Linked DNA regions of Caenorhabditis elegans. The protein of the gene in region 2 interacts with the protein of the main gene of each other region in a pairwise test. Each region holds a gene or a part of one and is shown on either strand. Other genes may lie near its edges.

Region 1 (3,910 bases), on a different chromosome or scaffold from region 2:
CTGAAATTGCTTAAACTACCAAATAAACAATACCTATAAAAATACCTACCTTTAATTGCCAACGACATTTATTGGAGATAAGCAATAGATATAGATGTGGTCGTTGGAAAATATTAGAGGAGACACGGAAATGAGTTGAGTCGCGGAAGGCGGACGAAGGGAGAACACCAGCCGGCACGAGTCCGCTCGGTTTCTATGGTGACGCGGGTAGGGAGAACCCGCCATTATTTAAAAGCTCCGTTAGTAGCATATCCTAATAATCTCCAGCGACTAATCATTTGGATTCATTTAAATGAGAGAGGTGAAGCGTTGTCGCGCAGGTGTTAATACACTGTATGAACATTTCAGAGTTGAGTAGGATATCGTTTGATAGTATTTAGTTTCACAAAATATGTACACTATTTCGAATACTTTCAAATATTGTTCAAGACACCATAGTTCCGATTACCTGTTAACTCGCTAGTTTCTACAGATCTGGAATTTGATTACTTCTTTCTGTAACGCTTCGTTCAAAACTTGTAAAAAAACGAACGGTCCATAGACTGTATTTAAATATATAAGATTACAACAATATCCGTTGAACAATTTGAATCACAATTTTAATGTCCACAGTAATCTCTGACGAGAAGACTAGCTGTGGATGGCTTAACTTTGAGACATATCATAATCAAAATATACAATCAATTAGGCCTACAATGATACTATACATCCGGAACATTCAAGTTTGGTAGACAGGGATTCGGTGAGAGAGGTTGGGAATTTTTGATAGAGACAACGGGAACGAGAACAAGTGAAAATAGGGTAAAAGTGGTAAATAGGGTAAATAAGGTAAAAAAGCAAAATTGAAAAACTTTGCACCATGAATGCTAGACCAGGAAATGTTATGAAAGAGATAGTGAATGGGATTGATAGTTTTTACAAATGATTTGGGAAATAACAATACGTTTGTAATTCGACAATTATCCGCACTCGCCCATCACATCGGCAAACCACTCCTCGACGTCGGTTTCAATTTTCTCGTGATGCACGACAAACGGATGCTGGAGGAGCATATCGTAATTGGGACGCATCGTTGGATCACGCTGCAGGCAGCTCTCGACGAGTTGACAGAAGTCCGGAGAGAATTTGGCCTGTAAAATTGTAAAATACATAAATACTAGTTGTGTACTGTTTCTAGCCGCCATAAAGCATATATTATGTCTACTGGTAGCTCTTAAAAGCTTTTTCTAGATGAATTTTTTACGAAGAGCACATACCGGATCCAGGCGCGGTGGCTCGTCATTGAGAATCTTGGACATCATGTCGAATTCGGTTCCGGCGTATGGGTACTGTCCGGTTGCCAGCTCGACCAAAGTAACACCAAAAGACCACACGTCACTGCGAATGTCATACGAGTCAAAGTTGTTGGGGTCGAGGCGCTCAGGACCCATGTACAGAGGGCATCCGGCTTGCTTCGAATGAGCACGAGACTCGATCAGTCTGCCAGCAATACCGAAATCGCAAAGCTTGATGACGCCACTCCAGTCGAGGAGAATGTTTGATGGCTTCACATCACGGTGCATGATTTGCTAAAAAAATCGGATTATATATTGTCCAAATGGTTCATCTGATTTATAAACTTACGTGCTTGGTTTTCAAGTAGTGCAGAGCTTTAATGATGCTCACACTCAACTTTCCAATAATTCTCTCTGGAATTGGCTGCTTGATGCGGATAAGCAGACGGTCAAGGCAAGTAGCCATGCACTCCATGCAGACACGGACGTCGAACTGAAAAAAATGATAATTGGAAAAGTCAAAGAATTCATAAAAATTCTTACGTTGGTGATGAAGTATCCGAAGCAACGTACAATGTACGGACAGTCGAAAGAGAGACAGATGACGTCAAGATCCATCAAAATGCGGGACATTTCATAACTGTTTGACGTCCGAGGCATCGTCTTCACAGCCATGATCACACTCTTGTATCTGCACTTTGTGACCGTACCGCAGCTTCCATGACCAATATCTTCCACGAACTGAAGCTCCTTCAAGTCAGCTTTACGACGGTTACCTAAAAATCAATTGTTACCGTTTCAAGATTATTTATTTAGCCAAATTACCTTGCAATGTGAGATATCCGGAGTTCTCCTCGGCCTGCTTCATGAGGTTCTTCACATTGTGGTCGTTACTACTACGGGATGGATGATGAGGCGCTGGCTGTGGCATTTGTTGCATGATCGGTTCACCACCAAGTCCTCCGAGCCCGCCAGGTCTGCCCATGCCAAGGTCGAAGTCTCTCTCCATCTTTTCACCTTAAAATTATTATTTTTAGTACAGAGAAAAAAAGAGATAAAGAAATATCAGGAAGAATCAAAATTTTGAATTTATATTTCTAGGATGAAAATATAAATTGTTGGGGCACGAAAAGAAGTGCACTAGCATTTCTAAGAATGAGAGTGGCTATACATATAAATAATAGGGGAAGTTATAAGAAAATGTCTTTGCTCTCATCATTACTCTCATCTCAATGCACTTTCGAAAAGTTCATGTACGAAATTAGAATGCATGATGTTGTTGCAAACAAGCCTCGTTTACGTCAATGGAAAGGCTCTTGCCTTTTGTGTTGGCTGAATATAGCAGCTGAAAACAAAAAGCGTATTAGCTTATACGACGAGGGGATCAAATGAGAAAGAGCTGCTGCCAAAACGAGAAAGGCAACGTTTTGAACTACTTTTCATTCTTGCCATGAGGATTAAATTGCATTACATCATGGTGAAAACATGGCATCACAGCAGCAAAAATGTCTCGAAAAGCGGCAAGACCGCATTGACGCCGTCGCAATTCCAATGCGGCGAGGGAGGAGGGAAGGGAGAGAAAAAACGAACGGCACACACACACACAAGTGAGACACACTGCGTAAATAAGTGCAAGAGTTACGTTGAAACACCGGGCACGCGACGCGACCGCGTGCGCACCCCCCTTCCGTTTCAAAACATTGGCGGTCCGTTCCCCATTTTTTTTTGTTTTCGACCTGTTTTTGCGATAGGTCAACTTTGAACTGAAGTTTATGTCAAAACGATTTGGTTATTTTGAATTTCCGGCATTGAACTGTTGAGTGAATAGAGTAAGAGTGTTAGAGAGAAAAAGAAAACAAACAAATTGTGATATGATAATTTCTGAAGGAAAAGTCAAGAAAAGCTGGGACTTTTCTGATTGATAATGATAAAAAACATTGATCATCATGTGAGGACAGCAACTATTATATAGTTTCTTTTGTAAAACAAAAAAAACGTTGGAAATTCAGAGAAAAGATTGTTTACCACTAATAATGTAATCGAATTGCGGTTAAAAAAGGCAAATAATAGTGTCGCGGAAAGTGGGAAAATTCCTAATATTTCGTAATTGAGAAACCATCGATTTCGAAATTAGGAGATAACATTGAGAATACTATTGTATGTATTTGAGAAGACGCAAACAAGAATTTCGACATTTTTTCTAATAAATGAGGAGACCCAATCAAATAAATAAAAACTATTTTTTTTTATATTTAAAAGCGGTGCTGGAAAATGTGGAAAGTCAAATTCTGAAAAACAACGAGGTGAAAACATTTTCTGATTTTAATTAGTCAGATAAATGCTAGAACACCAAATGCAAAAATCTCAAAATGTCTTGAATTCCATAAATAACAAATGCAGAATCAAGCCTAGTCATCGTGGCATTGTGGTCGTTACACTAAATCAGATATGGACCAGTTGTTGCATGACTCATCTCACAAGGTGCAGAGTTGGGAGCCTCTAACTTGTTTGTCGGCGACTGAGTTGATGGAAAATTATCAAAATTATGTCAAATCTTGATGGTTCATGATATGTTGAATTAATGCTTAATGTTTCTAGATATAGAGAATAGAACAAAAAAAAACTGGTCAGAGCAA
Region 2 (4,261 bases):
GTCGCCCTCTTGCTGTCCAAAAACGTCGTGAACAGCAATTAGTTCAAAGTCTCCGAGGAACTCCAACCACATTGGCTCGTGTCCACGAGCTTTTCGATGATGAGAAGCATGCCGTTGTGGTCGTTGAAGGTTCGAGACGTGAATGGTACGTACCAATTCTCTCGATCGTCGACAAGGACTTGCTTCGTCTGAATGCCCTCGTCATGGTGAAGGCTGGTGGAATGTTCAAAACAGTTCCAAGTGCAATCGTTGGAGTTTTGGATGACAAGATTGACAGCAATGCGATGGGACATAAAGTTGAGAAGACACCAAAAGAGACATTCGATGACATTGGAGGATGTGAGAGTCAAATTCAAGAGCTGAAAGAGTCTGTGGAACTTCCTCTTACTCATCCAGAGTACTATGAAGAAATGGGAATCACTGCTCCGAAAGGAGTTATTCTTTACGGTGAACCTGGAACTGGAAAGACGCTTTTGGCGAAAGCAGTTGCAAACTCAACATCTGCAACATTCATCCGTGCAACTGGATCCGATCTTGTTCAGAAACAAAGTGGGGAAGGTGCTCGTCTTGTTCGTCAAATCTTCCAAATGGCAAAGGAACAGGCTCCATCGATTGTATTCATTGATGAAATTGATGCAGTTGGTACGAAAAGATTTGATACTTCTTCACGTGGAGAACAAGAAGTTCAACGAACTCTTCTTGAGCTCTTAAATCAATTGGACGGGTTTGAAAGCCGTGGAGATGTCAAAATTATCATGGCAACGAACAGAATCGACTCGCTGGATCCCGCTCTTATCCGTCCTGGACGAATTGATAGAAAGATTGAGTTACCAAAACCAGATGAGAAGACTAGACAAAAGATTTTCACGGTTAGTCAATTCAACATTTCTTAAATAATTTTTATTTTTAGATCCACACCTCTGGAATGACGATTCAGAAAGCTGTCACCTATGAGAATGTATTGGGAAAGGAGAAGAGCATTAGTGGAGCTGAAATCAAGGCGGTTTGCACGGAAGCTGGTATGCTGGCTCTTCGTGCTCAACGAAAATGTGTCGGAACGGATGACTTTGAGAAGGCTGTCAAATCGGTTATGCTGTCGAAGAAGGGCGGAGCACCAGAAGGATTCTTCTCTTGACAATCGGAAATTCAATAAAGTACAAACGAGTTTACCCTAATGAACCTTTCTTCTCTTACAATGCCAGTGCAGATGTTTTTATGAACATCTGTAGTTAATTTCTTTGGTCTTTCTATGACCATAGACTGTTTGTTTTCGTAGTTTCTTTCCCTTCCAGAGCCTCAATTTGAAGAATTATGTTAACTTGATCCGAGGCGTTTTGAATACCGATCTCGAGTATAAATATTTTATTGTTTCAATGTGTTACTGTTTAACACAAGATGAGATTTGTCGTATACACTCAAATAGATACAAAAATAAATATCCAAATTTGTTTAAAAAATTTCAAACTCATTGAGCTCGCCAAGTTTCTTGAAAAAATTGTTTACGTACAGTTTTAAAAATTATAAAATTATTAAATACCACCATAACCAAGAAACGTGATATTTTCTGAGATGGCCAAAACTATTAAAAATCGATTTTTTAAAAGTCAGTTCTAATTTTTGGAGTCAATATCGTCCCAATGGTAGCATCAAATAGAAGACAATCGAGGTTTGCAGAATCATTGTTTTCATCTAAAAAAAACTACATTTTTCAGTTCAGATTCAATACCTTCAAATCAAAAATCACACAGCTCTAACCATCACACTTCTAATAGGTGAGTATAACTACAATCCACAGAAGAAAATTAGTTTGTAACCCACATGCTCGACATTTCGCTCCGTGCGATTGAAAGCTGGGAAATCGCGAAAATCTGCGACGATCTACGATAGCATGCGAAGAAATGCGCGGAAAATTCGAAACTAGGGGTAACCCGCAAAGATGTGCGACAATGTGCGAGAAAAAGCTGAAGCAAAATGTCGAGTTTCTGTATTATCTACACCAGGAAAATATAAAGACGACAGAATAGCTGTCAAATCTTCTCAAACAATACCCACTGCTTCACCACTGTCAATCCAAACTGCAATAGTCTTTCAGCGATGGAATGCAAACTCACACGGATCGACTTATTAATAAATTTATAAAGAGGCAAATGGAAAAATCTTCACCAGAAACTCAACATCTTGTCAGAAAGCAATCTATTTTAAAATTTGTTGAACGAAAGTCTAGAGCGGAAAGACCGAAGCCAACGAAATTACGAACAATTTTGAGAAAGATTCGAAGTGAGGATTTGGTTTATATTCTGCTTAAAGTAATGTTTCAAATTTCAGAATTTAATACAATAATTGCATTTGTGGTTCTTGTTGCATATATAATTGGTGGAGCTCTCTTGTTTTGGCAGATTGAATCGAGATCTGATATGAATGTTTGTAAAGCTTTTGTTTCTGTTGCAGATATATATTCATTGATAATATTTTCAGATTAATGAGTTCAAAAGAAATATTCGTCAGAAATCAATACACATCTACAATTCAATGAAAGGTAGCAAGTGTGGAAAATTGAAAAAGGTTTGTGAAAGTATTTCTGCATCTCTTTCAATTGAGCATACCCGGAAAACGCCTCGATACAATTTTCATCTATTTCAGGCAGATAATGAGTTGAACAACAATTGTATAAAAGAAATTTTTGACCTACTCTACGCTTCAAACCCTCCAAAGCATATAGAAGAGTTTCTGGATGGGCTGGCTTATGTAATCACTTGTATTACGACAATAGGTATGACTCGGGATTAACAAGTAAAATAGTATCAAAACTGATTTCGAACATTTTGAAAAATATTTTTAAAATTTTCTCCCGAGGTGTCGTCTAATCATTCTATTTTCTATTTCAGGGTACGGCGAACTTGTCTGTCACACAATTGCCGGTAAATTGGTTACTGTAGCTTATGGTATTATAGGAATTGCTCTAACACTCTACGTACTTCGCAACAATGGAAAAATAACGTTGAAAATATGCAATTTGACACTCAAAATTTTTGCAATTTGCGTTCGAAAATGGTAATTTAACATTTAAACATAAATAACCTCTTCTCAACTTTCCATATAAAATCTTTATTTGAGTTCATTATTTAGTTTTCAGTGGCAAAAAGTCGGCAAAGTATAAGATGACAGTACTGAAAGCTTTTATTCTTCTTGTCACATTTTGGGGCTTCGGAGCACTTGCAATTGCTGTCTATGAGGAGTTTGTATTCTATGATGCCTTGTACTTTTCTTTCAGTACATTTTCAACTATTGGATTTGGAGATTTTGTTCCGTCAGGTCATATCTCTGGAACTATTATTTGTGTATTACACTTTATCGATTTATCACTGATTTCAATGGTTTTAGTTCTCGTTCATGTAAGCTGTGAAGATTCCCTTGTAAGAAACCAAGTGTCTAAAGTTTACAAATTTCAGCATTCGATGGAAAACAGATTTATGAGAGTTTTGGAGCTCTTCGATGAACGGCATGCTACCGACACTTTAGAAACAAATATGATATCACCTGGTGCTTCTCAACGGAAACTTGCTGCAACGACTACAGCGAAGGAATGATTTCGATCCAGTGATCATAATTGATATCAGATTATTCTCAAAATTTAAAATATCTCTTTGCTTATTACAATTTTTATTGATATTCTTTTTGTGGTTTAATTCTTATTCTTTTTCGTCATTAAGAGAATGAAGAAATTACAAAAAGCTTCTTTTTTTGCACAATGAAAGGAAAAAAAAACTGCCCATTTAGAGATTTAATCCGGTAAAGGCTTGACAGAGGCGCCTCACACCCGCCTTTTTATTTGACCTCCCAGCGCCGTACCTATAACCTCATGTGCAATTTCTCGTTACGGAGTTAATTTTAGTAGCGCATTCGTGAATAACCTATTTGGTAATTGAATTTTTAATCTCTCAAACAACGGTGTTTGTGGCTAGTTAAAAAAAATTTATTGTTCTTTTCTTTCTGAAAATTATTTTCCAGGAATACGTGCAGCTCACGCAAATACCGTCATTTGTGAAAACGCAATCATTAATTATCAAACAATTTATTTTCGATTATCATTTGTGAAAGTTTTCCCATGAAAACAATGAATCTCGTCTATTTGATACTTGTCTCGTTTCTACCCTCATCAGCCTTCGTCAGCTGCTCATTTACCAAGTCTGGAAAACAAATTCTTCAACAAATTTTTGAAGGCGATAAAGACAATCACACCAAGTTCAACAAGTTTCAAGAA

The links. Proteins that work in one complex are often made in the same cells at the same time.
Region 1: the proteins of twk-37 (region 2) and mek-1 interact in a two-hybrid assay, tested with the Caenorhabditis elegans proteins (one large-scale study listed by BioGRID).

The regions. Positions count from the first base shown.
Region 1 is NC_003284.9:7,477,629-7,481,538, reverse strand, and holds mek-1 (Dual specificity mitogen-activated protein kinase kinase mek-1), read right to left. Parts: upstream 2,292-3,910; 5' UTR 2,284-2,291; coding exon 2,100-2,283; intron 2,051-2,099; coding exon 1,818-2,050; intron 1,768-1,817; coding exon 1,624-1,767; intron 1,569-1,623; coding exon 1,257-1,568; exon of another isoform or gene 1,131-1,256; coding exon 960-1,130; 3' UTR 534-959; downstream 1-533. Other genes in the region: F48E3.9 (Trichohyalin), read right to left, coding at 50-68. UniProt on the Caenorhabditis elegans protein: Dual specificity protein kinase which may phosphorylate kgb-1 and thereby is an essential component of the JNK pathway composed of mlk-1, mek-1 and kgb-1. May also have a synergistic role with sek-1 in phosphorylating pmk-1.
Region 2 is NC_003279.8:6,268,887-6,273,147, reverse strand, and holds twk-37 (Potassium channel domain-containing protein), read left to right. Parts: upstream 1-1,614; 5' UTR 1,615-1,637; coding exon 1,638-1,666; intron 1,667-1,712; coding exon 1,713-1,772; intron 1,773-2,092; coding exon 2,093-2,277; intron 2,278-2,325; coding exon 2,326-2,420; intron 2,421-2,475; coding exon 2,476-2,562; intron 2,563-2,640; coding exon 2,641-2,770; intron 2,771-2,885; coding exon 2,886-3,051; intron 3,052-3,133; coding exon 3,134-3,392; intron 3,393-3,449; coding exon 3,450-3,587; 3' UTR 3,588-3,728; downstream 3,729-4,261. Other genes in the region: C10G11.8 (AAA+ ATPase domain-containing protein), read left to right, coding at 1-869, 911-1,135; oac-9 (Nose resistant-to-fluoxetine protein N-terminal domain-containing protein), read left to right, coding at 4,115-4,261.